Linked DNA regions of Lepisosteus oculatus. The protein of the gene in region 3 interacts with the protein of the main gene of each other region in a biochemical or structural test. Links are inferred from orthologs where the notes say so. Each region holds a gene or a part of one and is shown on either strand. Other genes may lie near its edges.

Region 1 (7,512 bases), on a different chromosome or scaffold from region 3:
TTAAATGATGTTAAAAACTGAAGCAATAATACTTTTTACATCTGAACTTTGAAAGGACCACATTATCTGCTCCTTATCAACTCCGCACACTTTGGCTATTGATAGTCTTAGTATAGCATCACGGACACAGGTCAGGAACCTTTTATACAAGCTTGCACTTGAAGCTCATGTTTGAAATACTGTGAAGATGTCTTTTTCGATCTTAGCAGCATTGGTAGAAATCCTTTCACATCTCTCCCAATCTGATACAGAAAGCAAACCATGGTTTTATGTTTTCCAGGCTTGAATAGTTATGAAGTGCTTGCTGGTACCTGCAATTATGTTCCTAAGTTGCAGTATGATCAGAACATAGTGGCACAGAACTTAACTAAAATTAATTAAAATAAATTACTCAGAATGGAACTCAAAATAATGCAGTTCATCTTTAAGGGCTTTAGCACCGTAGTAGAACTCCTGTGAAGCTAATCAATTAACTGTTAACACTTACAGTATACATTTTGAGCACACTGGATTCTTTCAAGGCCCAAAACCATGGGAGACCATGCTTTCTTTAATGTTGCACCAAGGCTATGGAATGATCTCTTAGCTCATATCATCAGCACTTGAAATCCTTTCTTAAAACTTTTTTATTCCAGCTTTTAATTGTTTAGTTTACTGTATTGACTCATCTACACTATAGCTGTCTCTGGTGTTGATTAATCAAAAAGCGACTTCAGAAAACATATAATGAAAGGCACTATTTAAAATTAATATTATCATTATTTAAAATGAATTAAATGGAATTAAAAATAAACTCTTTGCTGTTAATGGTGAAATGAATGGGAGTTCATCACAGACACAGTCGATCACAAATTACATTATTTACCCCATAATAGTATTTTGTTAAGCAAGAATGGTGTATCAAAGAAAATATCCCAAAGATACTCGCAAAAAATATTGGTTTTTTTTCCAGTTTTGAAGATGTATCTGTAAAAATGAACTAATTAGCAAAACTATTAACTCATGATGTAAAGCTCAATACATCATAATTCTCTAGCTTCAAGACTCTCTTATCATCAAAATTCTCAAAATGCAGTCTACACAACCAGTCAAACATATTGTGATGTATCGGACACAACAACACATACAGTACTTAAGTTTCATAATGCCTTTTTTCCTGTACCACGACTAAAACAAGCATGACTAAAACAAGTCAAGATCACGCCTCATGTTCGGTTCATTATTGCATGAAGCAGCTCTGAGCCAACACTGGTTCCAGTTCTTATCTGCAGCAGTGAGACATTCAGACATCAGATTAAGGGTGCAAATGCAACAGGAGATACACACCAACAGTAAATATTAAGGTTGAATCAGTGTGGGTCTTTCAATATAAAGTATAATTTGATCAATATTAGTAGTGAAGCCTATTCATTTGTGTATATATAAAACTGTTTAAAGCAAAACAAATGCTGTAAGACATTGTTTTCCTGCTACCTTCAAGTCTGACTCAATGACTCTGCTGATTGTACCTGTATACTGTATATTTGCTTATTTTTAACAAAACGCAGAAAATCTAGAGCAGATAGCAGCTGAAATGAAACATGTAACAAATCAAAATGTCCTTCCTCTTAAATAAAGCAACTGTTCTAACTTAATTTTCTAACAGATATTGTATCCCATTGATGCTCTCAACAAGAAGTTAAGCCTTGAAGGGAACAAGGCAACTGCTCAAATCCAAAGACAATCAAAACAGAAAAATAAAATATTAACATTTCTCTTCTTGTTAAAATAAAGCATTTGTGTCATTGTTAAAGCTACGGTTGTATTTTAAGCTATCACTGTTGGATCACGTTGGAAAATATTTGTTTTATTTGTATATCTCTATATAAACTTTGATTGTAAAGCTGCAACGCCACGCCCACATACTGCAAAAGTGTGCCTGAAACTGGGAACGCTTGTTCGCCACCTTCCTTCACTTCCAGCGAAAGACATCAATCATACAATATCGCCCGAAAGCACAACACGGACTGCAAAGAATGATTTACATGAGGCATAATACTAAGACTGTAAAACTGTATACAGGAGGTCGAGGATGGGATTTCCTTTTAGCTTCTGATAGCAGCTATTGAAGCCGAAAACAACTCATCTTTTCCGTGCCTTTCAGCTACTGATGCTTGACTTCACATTACAACTTAAGACCGGATTCTAAAACGTGTAAACAGCAACAATATTAAAATAAAAGGTGAAAAACTCTCAAGGAAATTATTTACGGTAACTTTAATTAATCTGCTCCCATCCAAAGGACACCTCTTACGACCAAACCGCTTTGTTGTGCTTTTAAGTTTGTAACTGGTATCTAAGGCTACGCATAACGGCCCACTCTCTTTTGCATTTTAAACTTTGCTGACTTTGACCTTTCCTGGAAAAACAACAAGAACGCGAGAGAACATAATTTTCGATGACATCCAAGTTTTAGATTTAAAACTGTCGTCGTTTTGTACAGTGCATAAACAGGAGTAACACTCGATAGCACGAACTACACACATGAACTGTATAGTATACAGTATAGGTTTGCCTTAATCAAAGCAGCGGTACGTCGATGGCTACATTACAGTATAGTACTACTCACCTTGTTTGACACATTTCAGCCTGATGGGATCTTTGCAGTGTTTGACAACGGCTAACACATCCCTGATGGTGAGTCCAGCCACTGGAGTATCATTGACCTCCAACAGTAGCTCATCCTGGGACAGTTTTCCACTCTGACAGACAACCTTGCCTTGCTTTATTTCTCCGACATAGGAGAACTGCCCATTCTCAGCGCCTCCTTTCAATTCAAACCCAAGCTCGCCTTCTTTATTCCTGCAAATGACAATTTCGTGGACTTTGTTGGTCCAGTGGCTTTTCTTTTTCAGGCTTTTGGACATGGCTGAAATAAATACTGCATGAGTTATTCATGCAATAAGTTCCCAGTACTGTCTGTGATATTGGATTTTGATGCCCCAGTGGATACTAGGTTATTTTATTAATACTGGATGCTACTGGTAATATCCATGTCAGCCAGCCTCTATAGCAGCTGTCTGGGGCTGCGTTACACTGTAACTGTGAAGCTGGTTTACACAGAGTTGCAGGCAACTGACCCGGATGTGATGTCTGGAGGAGAGAGGCAGGGCTCTGAATCCCTCCGCAGAATAGCCAGGAGGAAAGATAAAGAGGCGGTGCGTTTAATTTTAATACTGAGGGATTAAGCTTGTTAACTGAGAAAGCAAACTATTCAAAGGGGAATCGGCGAGATGTGCTAGTGATGCCTGTAACAGACATATATAAAACGAAATTAACGAAGCAGATTTCTGACACATTTAACAATGGGGCGTTCAGGTCCTTTACAAATACACAGCATGCCATAATATTTTAATTCGTTAGAAATTCTTCTAGGAAATTTGCATCTCTCCCGTTTTAAATATCTAAAAATAAACTTGAATGCAGGGAAATAGCAAACGCTGTGTTAACGCGAATTGAGGGCATAATATATGTTTAAAACTGGGTTCCCAGATGTGCCATGGCGGTATCAGTGTTCCCTGCGTCTTTCTAGATGTACCTTCATGTATTTGCAATTCGTACATATGATGTCTCAGACATGTTGCCATTTCTAATTGATTACGATTACGTTTCTAAAAAAACACGTAAAGTATGAGCTTAACAGACTCCATTTAAATAAAGACCTACTGTATAGTTTTCGTTTGTTAACATGCTACTTTTAACAAAGAAGGTTACCTTACGCCCAGTAAGTAAAACCAACAGGACACATTGAAGCTTTCCATGCACACATAGTCCTCGCTTGGCTTCTAAGTGAATGAAGTTGTAAAATTTGGCTAACTACCTGCAGGTAGCTTGCCAAATTTTACAACTTCATTCACAGGGATAGTGGATGTAAGGGACTGGAAACAGCTTGTGGTATCTAATCCAATTCTAAAGCACTGTGATGAAAACTGTCGACAACGGTGTCATGCTGGAACCAGTCTTTCCAAATTCTTCCTAGGTGTACTGTACCTTCATGTACAGTAGTTGTAGTGAGTGTAATGAAAAGAGCTACTGTATTATCTCTGAAAGTAAAGAAAGGACTTTCATTCCTGATTCTCAAAAACTATTGAAAGGTTGTTTTAGTCGTTGTTTTACATTACTTAAAAAAATGCATATTTTCTTACCTAACACACTCCAACCTTAAAAGGAAGTTATTAATTGAAGTTCAGGAGGGATAAACACACAAAGTCAATCTCACCCAGCTGTTCCTAATCATAATCATTACTGAATATTGCTACTGTATATGCTGTACAGTATATAGTGTACAGTATACAGTATATAATGCAAACACTTCTTTTCACATTTGGCTCATATACGTTAGTCTTCATCCACCTCATCCCCACCTTGCAGCTACCGCTTGGTTATTTCCTCTGTTAGATTGGGGCTCAAGCCTCCTCATCCTATGTCCAGGGGGCTACCCTTAACAAAACAGGTTAAACCAAAGCTATCCTACCTAAAATACTCATACATTCACAAAGCATATGATTCTAGGATTTAGAATACACAAACATATTTATTACTCTCTTTCTGAAGGTTCACTAGAGTGTGAATAGTGTTTTCTTTTAAAGTGTTTCTCTTTTGTAGTTTGTTTCCATGATGCATTGGAATACTGTCTTTCAGTAAATTGCCTTGTAAAGTACTTTGGGTGAATAGCATTGCACATACAGTAATTAGGCACAGTGCCATTGTGAAGGAAGCACACCGTACTGAAGACTTACTGTAACAGCCTTTGACAGTTGGTTCTGGTCACCGTAAAGAGAGACTGTGCAACATTTTAGTAGATTTGTTGGAGTACACTTGCCTCAAATGGAATCCAAATTTAAATCGCCCAGGCTTTTTTTACAATCACAAGTATGGTATGAGGCAGATTGTCACCCAGCCACTTGTGCCTGGCACTGTACTGTAGCTCAAGAATAATCCCAACCAAGTTAATTTACAGTATGTTACTGAGAAGTATATCTTCACAATTTTGTATGAACCCAGACATATGTTTCTCCTTTTGTGTTACACTTGAGTGCCATTGCAATCAACCCTTTCTTTGTTCTTTGGTTTTATCAACAAGATATCAAGACCTTCTATTTGCAGTTTTATCAAAATCATTTTTAAATGTCTATAAAATAACAACATTTTTCAATGTGTATAAAATAATAATGCTTTGTAAAATGGCAATGATAATCACGCGCACCATTTTACACAGATATAAAATACCTCATAAATTTGAGGTTTGTGCTAAGGCCATTTAATGTTTATTGAAACAAAAGGATATCTAATATAATGCAATTATGAGATTATACATTTTGGAAGTTTGTTCACATGTCCCCAAAGTTTTTGGATGTGAAATAAACTAAATATCTCTTTATCCTGTTCTCAGTATTTTGGATAACTGGATGACCATATGGCTTTTAGATGCCAGGCTATAATAAACTGATATCACTATGCAGATTATCAGGATATTCCATGTAGATTAAAATAATAAGGCTCCAAATAGAAGCCTGAATATACAGTATGCTAATCCCAGAAACATTGGATTAAAGCATTATGCCGAGCTGACCTGTGCCAATTGAGTGTATGAGAGCTTAATATGCACAGAAGCTTTTAAACCATGTATTAGCAAGATAGACAAATAAGATTATAACATGCTGCTGAATTTTGATTTCTTTTTCACAAAGACATTTTTCACCAGCTGGAGTAGATGTATAATATTTTGTTTTCTTTGAAGCTGTGATTCTTTTTAAGAAAAGTATATTCAATCTTGCTAAATATATACTTTATACTGTGTATAAAATGTGTTTAATTAAGTTTTGGTCCATGCAGTCACCATACTGTTACAAGTACAGCACTTTCAACACCTGGTACACAACTGTAAGACCAAACTGATGATCTTGGAATTGTGAGGTAACAGTACTAGTTACAGTACCACATTAACACTACACCCTTTATTTTGCAAAATATTTAATGGGTGTTACATTTTGTTGAAATTTTGGCTGAAACACCCACACAGGATGCCTGACTTGTGTGTATACAGTATATCTTATTTAAACAGCCAACTATATGTTTACTGTTCACAGTGGAGACTTTTAAAATATGATTCACTGTATAAAAAACACAAATACATAGTTGTTTCATCAAGGTTAATTTTTGTTTCCTTGTTAAATTATGTAAAACATTTTGTAAGCATTCACAGAATAGAAAATTAAATTGCTAGAATATTTCCTATTACACTACAGTATGTCTTACAACCAAGTAATTTGAAAGGTTACCATTTGAACTACTGTGCCTTTCAAAAGTATTCACTTCCTTCCTTTGCTTACTTTTACCTTATTTCAGCCACAGAAGCATTTTATTTGAGCATTCAAATTTTGATTAAAATATTGACTTTACAATATGTGAATACTGTACCTCATTTGAAATTCAGCAAAATGATTCATTTGAAGTGGATGATGCATTTGCAAGACATTGCAATTTCTATTTTCTGTTCTCTTTAATGGAAATAAGACAAAAGCAAAAGAACATCACTTAAAACATTAAAATAATCTCGACCTCCCCAAAGTGGTGAGTTTTGCACATTTTTGAAATTCTTGAGGTGGGAGGTACACTCACCAAAACACAACCGTAGAAGGAGTGTCTCATTTTAAAGTGGGATAGAAATTTTATTTTCATAGCAAAATGAATTTGACAAGTCCTTGCTGACATTGTGTGGGAGCTGTCTATCTTAGCAGATAGGTCATGTGGAATAATACTTCGTAATTAGCTAGGAACATTTGGTGCGAAGTCAGCATGGGAGCTGTTGTCATCTGCTCCATGCTACACTGATAAACTATACAGTAAGTGACAGAATTAATAAAGTATGTCCACTGACCACAAGCATGCTGTTGGCTGTCAAAACTCTGTTTTTCTATTTGCCTGGAATGTAATTAAGTTAAGGAATCTATGCTGTGGATTCAGCATTTCATATTTTCATTCACAAAAGAGGAGAGAAGAGAGTGACAAAGAATGAGGGATAGAGAGAGAAGCCACTGACCTGAACTGATAGCAAGAGTTTGCAGTAGAGTAATTCTGTCAACCATATTCTACAGATGAAGTGGCGAGAAGTTAGGTGCTTTGATGTGGGAATCTTTTAAATAACATACATTGTATTGTCTGCAGTAGAGAAGTGGCATGAAAGGATAATTGGTAATAATCTATCTGAGGTTTCACTTCTCCTGTCAAGGAAGGCATCATTGAGAGTCCATTAATGAGAAATCCAAAAAACAGAAGGGACATTAGATTTTTACTCCCCGACATGCTGAATTTGGTATCCAATTAATCAAGTTTCTAAGATGATGACTGAATGGTTTTAGGGATGTGAACTTTTATGTTTTATCATTATGTTGTTTTAAGTAAAATACAGGTTTTAGCACTTTAGTTTTCAGGAAATGTGAAGCAATGTTGGGATGTGTGTCAGTATACAGT
Region 2 (7,990 bases), on a different chromosome or scaffold from region 3:
GCAGAGGTGTAAAATCCTGCAGAGCAATGAGCATCATGTAACCCGTTGTCACTGCTGACAGATGTGTCATTGCTACCTTTCAGTAGAGCTGGGCCATGATAGAACTAGAACATCTTGATGCAGAAGTGCTGTCCTGAACCGAAAAAAAAACAGCACCTGCCTTATTTTAACATGCTGGATTAAAATAATTGAAATAAAGCAGCAGGTCTTAAAGAACCCACATCCTTGCAGAATTCAGTTTCTTAAAATGCTGGTTGGGAAAAACAAAATCATGCCAAGGAGAAACAATGGATTTAGACAGTCTGTCCCTCAGTGGGAAAGTCCAGCAGGTTTGGCAGGTCTCTTGAAAGAAAGAGGTGGGCCTATCAGTCTACATCAGATGTAACCAACAATCAATATATGACTTGAGCTGTGAATGGACAAGTGATTTGAAATGTGTTGCAGAAGAGAAAGAGAAAAATAGAACTAATTGGAACAAACTTAAGCATGTGTATTCATGCTTAGGGGGTTGTTTTAGACCTGCTGGACATCAAAGGGATGAGGAAAACAAAGTCCAAAACCTTTGCACATATCTCATACATATAATTAAAAAAATATTTGTATTATCTGTGCAAGAACCTTGAATGCAAATTGCCTGCTTTTTATGTTATCAGATTAACAAAAAATACTGTGTAGTAGAAATGTACCTAATTTTTCTGTTTCTTTTTTGGATCTTTGTCAGGCCTGATCAACAGTTAAGAACTGCTCCAAAAATTGGCTTTCGTAATTGCAATACTTGTAATCTGGATAAATAGAACACAGCAGTGACATTTTCTGAAACAGACCGAAAATGATCCAGATTACAGTGAACAGAAACATAAAGTCTATGACTGGTTTACTTTTATCAAGATTATAAGGTGTGCTAAACGCACCCCTGTTCGTCATTCTACCTGAGCTCCCGATGATTTAATCCCACCAGTTATTGGTCTTAATTACAATTGTTTTTACGTGCTTATTGTGAAGTGTGATTTCCCTGTAAGACCTGCTGGGCCATGGTTTTTCACCTCTTCAAATTACCACTTTCGAAAGACTTAGAACAACAATGTTGTGACCAGTTAAAGTGATTTGATACCTTAAGTACCTTGGAAATGAATGCATTTGAATTAACACCCGAACACACTTCAGTCTTCAAGCACTACTTAATTGAATATGTAATGTACTTAATTGATCAGTAATTACATGTGTTTGAAGTCTGTAGAGCACTGCTTTGGTGGGCTGAGGCTCTTCTGATTGTCTTTCGACTTGTGCCCTTAATCTCCTGACTTGTTAAGTGGACCAATTTATTGCTCTACTCCCAAACTAGCTAGATGGGCTGAACAGCCTCCTTTCTCTTGAAACCTTTCTTGTGTGTTTGTGTTATGCAGGACGGGTTATATAAGAGATGACAATGGCTTGACTGGTGCTCTCTAGTACTGTAAGTAAGGAACGTGGTCTAGATCTCTGAAGGTGGGATCCATGCAGGATTGGGTAGGTAGTTTTCAGTTAGTAATTGATAGAGACCTAATAAAACAAGCGATTGGACTTTGTATGCAAATAATGTCTTCAATGAAGCAATTAAGATCTGTGGTGGAATGAAAACCAGAATGCTCTTAGGTTCTTCAGGACTGCAGCTGCCTATTCAGTCCTTGAGGGGGTGTAGGGGGTGTAGCTGCTTTTCGATTAGCAGCTGACAACTTCAATTCAATAATGAGATCAGTGGCCTTTGAGAACTGGTCTAGATGAGAGAGAGAAAGTATACCAGGCTTGGCCAGTTGTGTTCCCTGTGACGCCAAAAGCCTTCACTCTTCTTTTCATTCCAGCTTGATCTCGGTGACTTAATTGGATATTTAACTGAACTACTCATTTGTGTAATGACATGTTTTTCATTGTTCTCAAGTTGTTGTGGTTAGAGATTTCAAAGCACCCTTCATATTTTAATCTAGCCTGGAATCTACACCTTCTTAGTAGCAGGAATGTATAATTAAGCTAACGATCATAGCAATGAAGAATTTTGTTAAATTACTGAGAGATCGGCGGCAGTAAAAAGTAATAGACAGCCCCCAACCAAGACTGGGAAGGTCTGGTGGTATCCCAAATGTCCAAGACATTGTCATTTTTCTAGAACTGAGATTCCTTTAACACAAGCCAAGCATATTCAGTGGAATATGTGCTCCGAGTGACTTCTTTTTACATTTGGGTGAAAACATTGCAGCCACAGTCCTGTCACATTTGTAAGTCCAGCAAATCCCACTGAACCACAAATTGAAGAAAAGTCCTCTCCAACTTGACAAGAAGACATTAAGGCTGAGACGAATTAAAATATCAATTAACCTTTTCAGATTAGGTCCAGTGTTAGCTGGCAGGGATACAAACCTCGTGATCACCAGCTATTGAACCAGGACTGAGTGCAGAGGTAGAAAAAGCTGACTGAATAAATGCATTCAATTTTAGCAATGTCATTGATTCCATTTAACAGTCCTAAATGGGGATCAGGTTTGATCTGAATGAGCTTCAGAAAAGAAATCAGCTTCACCTTCAGCCGCCTGGCACACATTAAAGCTTGATGCTGTAACTTTAGTGTCTTTTTAATTTATAGGACCGTGCGGTTTGACTTTTTTTTTTCTTAACTTTTTTTTTGTCAAGACAGGCTTTGATTCTGGTTGGTTCTGCCATGCAAATTTCCAGTCAAATGCTAAGCTGCAGGTAATTCAAATTGCTCATGTAGTATAGCTTTGACTGACGAATCTGAGAGGTTCGAAGCACAGCCATTGGAAATGTGCATGCCCTGTAATAAAGCGGTGATATTCTTTTTATAATAATAATTACTTACACTTATATAGCGCTTTTCTGGACACTCCACTCAAAGCGCTTTACAGGTAATGAGGACTCCCCTCCACCACCACCAATGTGCAGCATCCACCTGGATGATGCAACGGCAGCCATTCTGGGCGCCAGAATGCTCACCACACATCAGCTATTAGTGGGGAGGAGAGCAGAGTAATGTAGCCAATTCATAGATGGGGATTATTAGGAGGCCGTGATTGGTAAGGGCCAATAGGGAAATTTGGCCAGGATGCCGGGGTTACACCCCTACTCTTTTCAAGAAACGCCCTGGGATTTTTAATGACCACAGAGAGTCAGGACCTCGGTTTTTACATCTCATCCAAAGGTCGGCGCCTTTTTACAGTATAGTGTCCCCATCACTATACTGGGGCATTAGGACCCACATAGGCTGCAGGATGAGCACCCCCTGCTGGCCCCACTAACACCTCTTCCAGCAGCAACCTTAGTTTTTCCCAGGAGGTCTCCCATCCAGGTACTGACCAGGCTCACACCTGCTTAGTTTCAGTGGGTTGCCAGTTGTGATTTGCAGGGTGATATGGCTGCTGGCTTTTTGTATAGTTATTTTGCTGTTTTACATTTTTTTTACTCCAGCATCCAATCCTTATTACAAGGGGGGCTATGAGCCTGACGGGATACCTGATATGGACAAAGCCACCCATTTTTGCATTTTCTTCTTCCAGGTAGGGGTCGTGGGGGAGCCAGAGCCTATCCGGGCAAGCAACAGGCACAAGGCGGGAGGAACTGACAAAGCCAATGAAGGGAATATCATCCAAAACTGGTGCATTTTGATCATGTTTTCTAGCCCGCTACATATTATTTTCTACAAATGAACGGTACAATGTGTGGAAAAAGGAAAGTCCTCGACTCCGTCACAAGCCTTTTGACTTCCCTCTGCCTTTAGCTGTCTGTATGTAGATCAAATTAATCAGTTTTAGACTTTTGTCACTTGGCCCTTGAGCTGGATTTCGTCCTAGCTCTTTGACAGTGTGCGACTGTGATGCCTAATGGGGCAGAACACCATGCGGCAGAGGGCTTAATGGACAATGGCATTGGGACATGCTAACACGCTCCACCACTCTGATCCCCGCTGCCAGAGCTCAGGTGGACAGTGGAGGAGCTGTTGGCTTCCTGTGTCCTCTGTCTCGGGTTCAGGGTTCAGGTCAGAGGCCTTATGTTTTTTTAAAGATATGGGGAATCTGGTGCTACAGACATGCCTGAATGAGTAGACAGCGGGACAACGGTGTATGAATGGATATATACAGTAGGTAATCAGAAGGTAAGAAAGACTTAGAATGATATTAGAATGAAAGACTTAGAATACATTACATTATATGATATATAAAAAAATGAATTGACCCAAGATTTACACCAAATTAAATTCAAAATAAGTAACACAACAGGTTGAAGACTACAATTGCTGCAGTGGACCAGGGCCATCCAGTCTTGGCATTAGCGTTATATAAACTGGCAGTGCTCCTCTCCATATGTGTAATGTCCAGAAAAGAGCGTCACCACATGATAGAGGCTAGTGTACCCAGCTGTGTAGGACTGCTGTATTGCGGCTGCTGTTAATCCAAAGAGCTAAAATCGTAATCAAGTTAAGTATTTGTATATTTTAATTTTTGCAGTAATGCTGTGCATTGTTTGAAAGATGGATATTATGATGATGTCGACCTTGAGTAATGTAATGACAAATGTCCTTCGTACTTCGTGAAGTGTTAGAGGTTATGAACATCAGGCTGCCATTGCTGTTCCTCACCACAAGATGGCAGGCTCGAGACACTACGATACCTTCGCATTAGCAGATAACACATTTACATTATTTCCATTTCCCCGCCTGTAAACTGTACTGATTATAAAAAATATATTTCGAAAACAGGAATTTGAGGCATTTGCATTGCTGTTATGAATTATGATGAGTTTTCTTTGTCGAAAACTGGGGTTATACGTGCTTTTGAAATACGCAGTGCTAGCAATAGCGTAAGCGTCCAGTTAGGTCTGTACTGATGAGGTCTACGCAAATTCTCTTGTTGAAATAATGGGACGCTTCGGGGCGCAAAGTACAGGACTTCCTTAGGTATCCTGATGCGGGACTAAGGCAACAGTGTTAGTATTGCTGTCTAACTGTGTAGTAACTGAATAACAAGGACTCCGCTGAGAGTCGGTGGAATTGCGGACAACAGCGCATTTATTAAACGTGGTAGGTGTCTGGAAGACGATCTTCCTCCTGCGGTTTAATACAAAAAAGCACTGAAAAGCCTCCGGTTCTTGGCTCGCCATTCACCTGTGGTGCAGAACGTCGTATTTCTTCTGCTGTCCTGTCTTCTCAAGGTGCGATCTTTTAACGTTTTGCTAACTTAAACCTATACTGTGTAGTCGAGTAGAATTTTTTAAAAGTGTTGCGTGGGGTGAGAGAGAACACAGTAACCTAGTCGCTGCGAAGTGTCCTTTTAATTTTAGGGGAAAGGTAAGGACTGACAGGTAACGCGGATTTTACAAATATTAGTACCGGAGTAGTATTAACAAGTGAGACAATTTCTGGAACATTAGCAAATTATCGCGGTGACCAGTGACCAAATATTTGCTCAAATTCCCCTGCCGGTGAATCTCATTTTGACGTTGTACCAGACTGATCTCCTCTTAAAAAGAGTCTGGATAGAAATGTGTGCAGGGTGATAGAGGGAACACGATACGGTCCTTGTACTCGGTGAGCAGCACCGTGTTCGCCTGTGATGAGCATGATAATAATAGCATGAGGATCGAAGTGCACGGTCGGCACTCAAAGGGTTAGCCGTGCTATCTCTCTGTGTTACAGGGTAACAACTCGGAAGACCCGCCCAGCTGTTTTTAGCATTGGCTGGCCCCCAGTGTTTTTACTCCCCATCCTTCTCCGCGATTGGTTCGAAACAACAGCAGTCAACCGCGCCTTGCCCACCCCAGCACTACTAACAAGGTGAAAATGACTAAAAAAGTTCTGGAATCATTTCCCACTCCGGGCTCGTGGGAGGGAGGCTGCCGGCGCTGTGACTGAGCTAGCGAACCCGGAGCCGCTTGCTGGAAGAGGCAGATGCGCGGCGGTGCGGTCGCCACGGTGGAAAGTGCTCAGCAGGATTGTGGGACAGATTGAGAACAATCCTCCGGAAAAAAACACACACACGGGCATTCCGAGTATTACACACAACAGCACTGCCTGCGCCGGCCGTGCCCATTTCACAGGAATGCGGCTGCTGCCAAGTTAAAAACGAACAGGTGCGTTGGACGCGAGTGACGGAAGGTTTGTTGTAGACGCGGGGCAATAATAACGTGAAGCTCAGTTTGAAGTTGGAAGTGTTTTCTTCCTATGCCCCTGCTACACCTCCAGCTGATATAGTTTGCAGGTGCTTTTGGAATTCCGGCGAAACTGTTAAAGAAATTGCGTGGACTTGGCGTAGTGACAGCAGTCCGATTCATTAATCAGATCGTTTGATCAGGTTGAGGCCAGTGACTACCTTGTAAACAGCGACAAGAAACTGAGCCGATCGATTGTTAATTCCTTCTTTGGATAGGACATTTGCTCATTGGAGTACAGAAATCAGCTATTTGCATTTATTCATTGTTTTTTTTTATGTCTAAGAATATATACACAACGCCGTGAGAAGCATCGCTGGAGATCAATATAGACAGGATCGGACATGCACGACTGATTGAAAATAATGATCTTCTGGCAGCATAATATTATTTTAATTTGTTTCATTGCAATTTGAAATTTTAAATGGGAAGGCTGGATTATTTACGTGCTGCTTCAGCGAGCCACAAGCTTGAATGATAGCATTTTATTTACAATGAGTGACGGTCGGAGCACAGATGATTATCCGTAGCTAAAATTATATAAATAAAATAAATATTAAAATCTTCACTATTGGAGGAATGGAATTAAGAGACAACAGGAGGCTTACTTCGTTTCGCAATCAACATAATGCAATTCTAATCTTTTGTTTAAACGTGTCGTAGGAAACTAGAAAATCAAGTAAACAAACAAAACGCGACTTTGCTTTTTGAAAGCTTTTAACGGGGAGTAAAACAACATGTCCAAAACATTGAGGAAGAAGAAACACTGGTCCAGCAAAGTTCAGGAGTGCGCGGTGTCCTGGGGCAGCGCCGGTGAGTTCAGCTCGGTGGTGGAGGTCCTGGGGGGAGCGGAGCTCGGCGAGTTCCCCCACCTGGGCCAGGTGAAGCTGGAGGCGGTTGTCTGTCACTCCGGGAAGCTGCCGAGCCCCGGGGACGTGCTGCTGGAGGTGAACGGAACCCCGGTGAGCGGACTCACGAACAGGGACACGCTTGCAGTTATCCGCCACTTTCGGGAGCCGATTCGTCTGAAGACCGTCAAGCCAGGTGAGTTTTTATCACTAAGTGAACTGTTCGCATTTTTATACGCTTCTTCAATAAATCAAATATACTTGTCCTCTTGTCAGTGCGAGTGATTAATCGTTTCCCTATCATAACCCAGTTTTATTCCCTTTATGGTTATGCTCATTATTAGTTTTTATTTGGATTCTTTAAACTAACAACACGGTCTAGTTGTATTAATTATAGTCTGCATTTGGAAACTTGTGCTAATTTCATGCTCTGTGGTTAAGATATTGCATGGATCTCGCTCTGAGTGTTTTGCCTTTTCTGTCTCAAGTTGATCCTGTACCGAGTTGTTGCCATGAGGGCCTGTTGACCGAACGGCTATGCAACAGAGTGGAACATGTAATAATACGGACTTTGCTACAGCCAAGTCAGGGGTCAGTGGCCGTTCTTCTCCGGTGTCGCAAGGCCAGCCTGCGCTGGACGCAGTCCTGTTTAATTGGACTGAGATTCAAGACAGGGTTTTAGTTAATATTGTGAACACCCCTCAGACTCGCACTGCGTCTTCGTGCGGTTATCGAAAAGCCCTAGCTCTCTCTAAAAACCCCCTCACGTACAGTATTATTAAAAACCGGCTACTAGTACTAGCGCAAAAGGATACATTCGACAACTGTATGCTGGTATATATTGTAGTATTTACCCCGCTTACTGATGATACCTTTAAGATTTGTGGCACGTAACCCGTTTTAAATATACTTTCAGTTCAGTGCTAAATGTAATTCGTGTTCAGTATTTCATA
Region 3 (7,552 bases):
ATTCGTCCAAGCCTTCCAAAAAGCGCGCTGAAACGTTATGCTGCCTGTCCCTTGTTTATAGATTCACTGAAGGCTGCGACCTGTCCATCCGAGCCTCCGCTTCTTTCAGACTAAAGCAATGCCACAGTCGCCAAATTCTTAGCAGAGCAAGTGTCTGCACTCGGCAGTTCAGCCGGCAAGATTTCCGTGCCTGCTGGGACGTTATCTGCTCTGCCGCCCAACTCCTGTGCAGTTTGTCGCTGACGCTCGGAACAGTCCGGATGCTCCGAGCTGCCGGGGATCCTTCACAGAATAGCTCCTAACTCCGGCACGTCCGGAGACAGCATCGCCCGGCGAGTCCTCCAGGGGGGCCACGCTTGCGCTGCTGCCTCGGGGCTGAGGGTATCAGCGGGGGCGCCCGGCGTCCTGGCTGGGAATCCGGTGACCGGGGCGACTCCTGCCGCAGCCTGCGGTCATTTGCCCCGCCGTACGACTTCAGGGCTCCCGCAGAGTGAGAGCGCTTCTCCAGACCCCCTGCACCACTATCACTGTCGAACTGCGCCCTTAAACCAATTTATGTTCTTCATCTTAATGTCTGTCTTTTAAACTCTGAAGGATGTCCCTGTCGCGATCTACAAGGGTTTTGATGTTTACAGTACAGTTCGCTTTGGGTACAGTATTAACCAGTTCCCGATTGCTGGTGTCACCCGGCGTTTCAGTCGGTTGCAGATATCACTCCCGGTCCATGTTTCTGTGTCTGTAGTAGAGGTCTGGTTTCTTAACTAGTTTTATCCCGTCCTCCTGCCAATACGGGAGCTTACTGCGCACTGAGAGCAGTCGAGCTGTGCAGCGCGTATAAGACCACTCCTATCTTTATTCTGGGGCAAGCTACAGTATATGTTACCATGGGGATCTCCTACCTATTTCGGTGCCGGCAAACCTGACAGGAGCTCAGGAATTGCTGTTACCGTGTTGTTTTACTTTTATCTGAATAAACGGATAAGAATAAACACATTGACTATTTGCAAATATAAATCAGACGCTGATTTCAAACCGGTGTTTCGTTTCTCACCTATCAATAACCCTCCGGCCCTTGTCGGTTTAACGAGATGTACCAGAATTTGAAGTCCGTAAGCGATTAACCAACATTCAACATGTTCGTTTCACGATTCCTCGCTGCGCAGAACTGCATCATGTTGAGGGAGTCGTGTCGGAATTTACGGCAACACGCAGCGGGATGTAATTTTCCTACCTTCGCCACAAACTATGAAATTAGGCTCCGGGAAATTGTCACAGCACAAAGAAACGCGGTGTCGATGTCTTTCCTTTTATTTCCAAACTCCGTTTGGCCGATGCTGGCCGATTTTATTTATAATGTAAATGTACAATATAGTGTATACAAGCATTCTTCATATACTAGGAGCGTCGAAGGCGTCGGAGCAGTAGGTCTTCTTGGTGTCGGGGAACGCCACCTATGAGCCTATGAGACCGATGTCAGGGCTGTGAAGAGTAAAGATTTCTCCAAGCCCATAGTTTCTCATTTCACCTCTGACGGCCCTGATCACATTGATCTCTCCATCTGAGTTCTCAATGAAGGGTTTCTCAACTCCCGCCGCAGAAAGACATCAGAAACAAAAATTATCCTGAAACCTGGTTCACACCTTCTCTCAACGTCAGACTTGTTTTCGTGCAATCTTCTCTATTCACATGCAGATTTCGACTTTACCCCTCTCTTCACCTCCTCCCCTCTCCCAACTTTTGTTTTCCTGTGTTATTTCATCTTTGCTGCCTGCCCTGTCTTCCTCAGACCCGAAGAAGGCTCCACAGCCGAAACGTCTCTTTTCAGCATGGAATTAAACCTATGACTTGTTCTTCATGTACTTCAGCTTGAAAACGGAATCTAAATAGCGACTTTAAAAAAAAAAAAGACCGTTCAGAGGCTTTAGGAGAGCGAATCGGTTAAAAGAACGTGCGGACGCTTGTGGCATGTTCTCCGCCGGCTCGTATCTCATCTGAAGCTGTCGTACAGCAAAAAAGGCATTCAGTCAGAAAGCAGCTCCTATGACATTCCATTAATTATCCCCCTTCAATTCGAGGGTTATGGATTTTCGATCCCATCTCTTTCAGAAAGTTCTCTGCTCATCATCAACATCATTTTTCAAATCGTCTTGTGTTTCAGGAGACACGCTGTACGTCTTCCACCTGACGGAATATTGGTTGAATGGACATTTTTTGCGTGGTCTTGAAAACATTTCTGAAGTGCACGTTATCATTAACTGATTACAATTCATTACATTAATTGCTTACTTCGAATACAATAATATTTGTAAATTTACCGATTAACCCACCGGTTGCGTTTGAGCTCAATTATAGTCATTTATTTAAATAATTAGATAACTAATACCAATATAATAGATTTGTAATAGTTGTTTTTTTTTAAATTACGTTTACCAACACCGGTTTTGGGGTTAGCCTATTTTCCTGGGGTGGGTTATCAAAGCCGAACTATGCTGTACTGTTCTCTTCGCTTTCCGTTTACACGAAACATCAAATTTCACGCTAAACGGAGAAAAGTACAATCGGAGTCTCTTCGGAATGATCATAGGAGCACATTAAACCAAACGGGCCGAGAGAAAATTGCAAAACGAAAGAGTTTGTTTTCCCCGGAGGAGACAGTGGTTGAAATTCTGGAATAACCTGATGTCTGTAAGAAGGCGGACGCCTCTATATCTTTTAAGTTCTTGTATGGAGCCGACTACCTGCAAATTGCTTCGTGTGTGTAAGATGGTGTGGATTGGAAAGCAAGCTATATACTACCCAGATGATATAGAGTTCTGCCAAACTGTTTCACCCCGAAAAGCCATTTAGTATTCTCTTGCGGTTCCCGTGAGGCATGCTGATATAAATTATGTTGCTATCGTGCTACTTTAGAAAATGAAGGAAATCGCTGATGCCTACCTGCAGTGCCTTTTGCTCAAACAAATGCTTTGATAGTTGTTTACTCTTAAAGCGTCTCATTATCGGCTACTCTGCGCTGAAGAGCAATAATGATAGAAATCGCACAAGGCTGTTCCCAGGTGTGAACACCTCTGCACTTTGTGCTGCGTTAGCACGATACCTAATTAGACTACGGTGGTGGCGAATTTAGGAAATGTGCTGCATTATTTGCTCTAAATAAACCACGAGTGTTTCAAGGGTAAAAGAAAAAATTATCAGAAATCTTCTGTTGTTCTACAGTATGTGTTTTCTTCCCCTTTTAAAAAAATAATAAATCTGAGTACCAGGCAAGCTCGGGTCCTGGCGTTTGTTTAAAACAGTTCCAGGCTATATTAGATGACAGTTTTTTTTCCATTAGATGACAACGTCATGGGATGCGCCTTCTCCTTAAACCATACTGGGCAAACATCCTGATATGGAAACCCTGCTTTGTTTGCACTGTGACTGGCCTCCAGTCATTGTGTCCTTTGGTGTCTATATCTAATGCTACAACCCCAGGGTACCTGCCTGCTTAGCACATCCAGCACTAGCACCCTGAAGAGCTGGAGAAACTACTGAATTGGTCCAATTAAGCCAATACAGAGTTTGCTTAGGCGCTTAAGTGCAAAGCTGGAACAAAACTGTGCATGTACACCAGCCCTCTGAGTTCTTAATTTTATAGCCCTGATCAGCTGTGAAAATAAACATGATCTTATCTTAGATCTGTAGGTCTAGTTAGGGACATCATTTTAGTAACTGATCAGCTAAGTATTCCAACTGCATCAGTCCGAAGGCATGGGACTCTTCAGGAACTGCAATGCTATAAAGTAATGACAAGAGTTTGCTTCAGTTTCCCAGTAACGCAGGGCTCTGTATATGAAGGAAGTCAAAGAATAGCTTCCAGGCCTTGCATACAGCCGGGCTGGTTTTATAGTTATGTACAGTACTTAAGCTTCTTGCAGATCAATTAAATAATGAATAATGTAGCACAACTCTTACTCCTCATGGCTGAGGGTGATCGTGGTGGTCCTGGAGGGCCCGTGTGTCTGCAGGTTTTTAATTGCAACTCGGCTCTTAATGAACCCAGTCAGCTCATCATTGGCTAAAGTGGACCACTCTGGTGCTGCTGCTGCTTTGAATAACCCTAAAACCTTACAGCCCCCCCAGGACAGGGATTGCTTTGCTTTAGAAGCTCAGCAGTTGGGTTCCTTCAGGATGAAAAGCATTATATTAATGGAAGGAAGTATCCTTAATATCTCAGCCCTGGTGCTGAAACAAACACGACTCTTGTTTCTGGTCCAGTTGAGCTCGTCATTATTAACCCCCTTATATGAAATAGAATTGCTTGAAAATAACTATTTAAACTGGGTTCTGTGCTCAGTCCTGCAAACATATTTTGCACGGATTCATTGAGCTCAGCCTCATTCAGTTGTTCCAGTGTTTAAAGCCTCCTGCTGTCTAACCACATCTTTAAGGTGTGAACCAACTGTTAAAAGTGACCAACGACAGGGACAAAGAGCTGAATAAGGACATCCAGAAATGAGTTTCTTCCAAAAACAGACCTTTTTTCTTGCAAATTCGTTTTCGGCTGTAAAACTGTAGATTCCAAGTTGGGTGCAATGATGAATAAGTAATGTGAAAACTTCAGCTTACCGAGGGGCGTCTGAGGACTCTGCTGGAAAACAGGCCAGCAGAAGCTGGGATCAGAAGGATGTGGTTTAGGGTGCTCTGTGGTAAACCATTGTTACTGGTTTGATGTCTTTTGATCTCTCACCACTTTTACCAACATTCCGATGGTTCCAGCATAAGAAACAAATCCTGGTTTGGTCCTAGCAGGTAAGGACCTGCACATCACTCTCATGTCTCATGTCTCGTGTTTCATTTCAGTCACGGATTTTAGGAGTTGGGGCGGAAGAGGGTTGGGGGAAAAGTTATGGAAAGGACACATCAGCACTGCCATTTCTATGCAGAGCAGATCAAAGATTGAATAAAAAAGAGCTTAAGGGAGCTCAGGTGCAATGCTCTTGGCCCTCTATTGTGATGTCCAGAGAGAGAGAGAAAAGATTTGGCATACTGGCTGCTACAGACCCGTATTGTTGTGAAGTGCGATACTACATAGTCTCTGTCCATGAATCTAGGGGTCACCCATCCACAAGACCAGACAAGAAGTTTTATTGTGGTTTGTTGTCTTTTAACCTGTGAAATGAAAAAGCAGATAGGGGAAAAAAAACTTTGATTTGTGTTCCAGTCCAGCAACCATTTTACAAGGTAATGGGGGTTAGAAAAGCCCAGTGTATTACCCCCTGGAGAGCAGAGTGTCTGCAGATGTAGTAACCCAGATGTAGCCTAATAAGCCTATTAATATTTGATTATTTCAGGCGGTCTCAGTGGATAATGCCAAGGAATAAAGCAGATCCTTCAATATATCCCACCATTTATCATTTGAATGAATCTCTGAAGGAGATGAGCTGAAACCCAACATTCCAAACTGTTTAGAAAAAATGGTATAAGATGCAGCATCTTGATAATGCAGACAATTACAAGGTTGGTAATGGATACGTTTCGTAGAGATCCAAGCTTACAGACATAAATGGGGTTAAAAGGATAGTTCATTTCGGGAGAGATTCTTCACATAAATTAGCCATCCACCCTGCCAAGAGTCAGGCAGGCTGTTGGACTGCAGTGTACTGAAAGGCCTGGACAGAAGCCTGAGCTTGGCCGTAGAGGTCTACTAAAGGAGACTGATGAGATGTCAGCGTATCGGCAGTTACCGGCAATGGAAAGGTGTCGTCACGATGCACAGTACCAGTAGGCCTAAATTTGACACTCCTGTAACCCCACATTTCCAGCTGTCATGACAGTTCTGCTAAATATTGCCAGACAAAAGTCACTGATTCATTTATTATCCCTCACGTTCAAGGATGACAGTCTTCCACGAAGCTGAAGGTGATTGATGAGGCCGGTGCCAGATCTGCAGACTGTCTGGCAGCTTGAGGAGGTGTCATCTCAGAAGTCGTGGTCATGTATTGTGCAATACACTCATGGCAGCTCGCTTCAGGGCTCTGCTTCCTCCTGGGTTCTCGCTCTGACATCATTGAGTCGCAAAGTGCTGGTTTCCTATCCAGATATTCTTGCTTCATTGGGTTAGGACAAGAGCCATAATCTCCCAGGGGTGGATATTGATGCATTTCTTCAAGTTGCCTTTGACCAGGTCTTTGAAATGAAAGACTCTTCTGGCTCGCTCTAGTGTGATTGCCTTGGCTAAGCTGAGAGATGAGAGCCGTGAAGTGTTCTAAGTTTTTTTTTCCTATTTAACGATTTGCTCTGCCAGGGGGAAGAAGTTATTGTAAACCATATAGTTTGAAACAACACCTTGCATTTTCCAATTGTTTAAAGAAAAGTGCATACAATTTTTGTAATCGATGTCATACTTCAGCAATCAATCAATCAATCAATCATGTAGTGAGAGTCTATTGGATGATTCACCAGAATGTGGATTTCTTTCGCATATGCCACAACGGCGGCATTAATTTTGGGTCACATGTGTGTATTTTGAAATGCAGTGCATGAGAGCTCAACAGCTCAGCAGACTGGTGAAGAAACCCTGTTCAAATTGAAATTTGTATTTATTCTGCTCTAAGGGTATCTCTTCCCACACATCTATTAATTTGCAGAGCAGTATCTGCAACGATCTGATGAGGCTGCATTGCTTCTCAAACTTTAAAATGATCCACGCTGTCATGCAAGTAAAACATCAGTATCTTCGTTGTGCAAAAGCTTTCAGGAAGAAGCTGGCAGGTTTGGACCAACGGAATCGACTTCCAGCACACTGCCTGTAAGGAAAAGCAACGGTAACAGGTCTTTCAGTGTAAACTCTTCAAACATCCAGCATAATCGCAAATCACACGCCACATCCATAGCCTATAAAAGAGCTTTTGAGGTCTTCACTTCCCGTCTTATTATTTGTAATGTATTTTTTAATGAGCCCTTAGGCAACGCCCACCGGCAGGCAGCCCAGAAATCTTCCTTTCCAGTGGAACTGCGGCCCTCAGGACAACGCAGGCAGAATACCGAGTCCCTGGGCTCGTAGGTGCAGGCAGTTAAATTACCGAAAGAGGATAACGGGAAAAGCAAGCAGGCAGTTGAAAAAAGTGCACAGAGTAGTCCACTTGACAGTCTAGCCTGCTGGTAGTACACAACTTCACACGTGTTGCTTTTTCATCCAGCATTGATCACCATCTGTTCGTACAAATTACACACTTCATTAGTGTAAAGCAGCTACGATTCGCACTCCTTTATACAGTTGTGATTTTACGAGAGTAAGTTTTGGGGGCAGATCAGCGGTGTCTCACCCGGGTTTTGAAGCCCCAACCTAAAAACACCTTAATGTCTCCTGCTCGCATCAACTTTACAAAGGCATGAATGCATTTCACCATTGCAGCCATTCCAGCACGAGTTTATATATGCCTTTCACATGATTGGCCAGAATATGTACTAAAGACGAACAACTGATTTTTATGTGTGCTTAACTAAAAGATTTCATCTAACTGATGCAAAAGCCTGGGTAATTCACAAGATACTATACTATGCATTATAC

Evidence for each region.
Region 1: the proteins of crhr1 (region 3) and magi2a form a complex in vitro, tested with the Homo sapiens proteins (2 studies listed by BioGRID and IntAct, with this or other methods). The link is inferred for Lepisosteus oculatus from reciprocal best matches to the Homo sapiens genes CRHR1 and MAGI2.
Region 2: the proteins of crhr1 (region 3) and magi3a form a complex in vitro, tested with the Homo sapiens proteins (2 studies listed by BioGRID and IntAct, with this or other methods). The link is inferred for Lepisosteus oculatus from reciprocal best matches to the Homo sapiens genes CRHR1 and MAGI3.

Annotation. Positions count from the first base shown.
Region 1 is NC_090702.1:34,684,213-34,691,724, forward strand, and holds the start of magi2a (membrane-associated guanylate kinase, WW and PDZ domain-containing protein 2a), read right to left. Parts: upstream 3,073-7,512; 5' UTR 2,907-3,072; coding exon 2,609-2,906; intron 1-2,608. UniProt on the Homo sapiens protein: Seems to act as a scaffold molecule at synaptic junctions by assembling neurotransmitter receptors and cell adhesion proteins. Plays a role in nerve growth factor (NGF)-induced recruitment of RAPGEF2 to late endosomes and neurite outgrowth.
Region 2 is NC_090700.1:34,829,243-34,837,232, forward strand, and holds the start of magi3a (membrane-associated guanylate kinase, WW and PDZ domain-containing protein 3a), read left to right. Parts: upstream 1-4,918; 5' UTR 4,919-5,062; exon of another isoform or gene 5,063-5,193; intron 5,194-5,677; 5' UTR 5,678-6,926; coding exon 6,927-7,233; intron 7,234-7,990.
Region 3 is NC_090723.1:8,137,634-8,145,185, forward strand, and holds the start of crhr1 (corticotropin-releasing factor receptor 1), read right to left. Parts: upstream 3,027-7,552; 5' UTR 2,998-3,026; coding exon 2,938-2,997; intron 2,087-2,937; exon of another isoform or gene 1-2,086.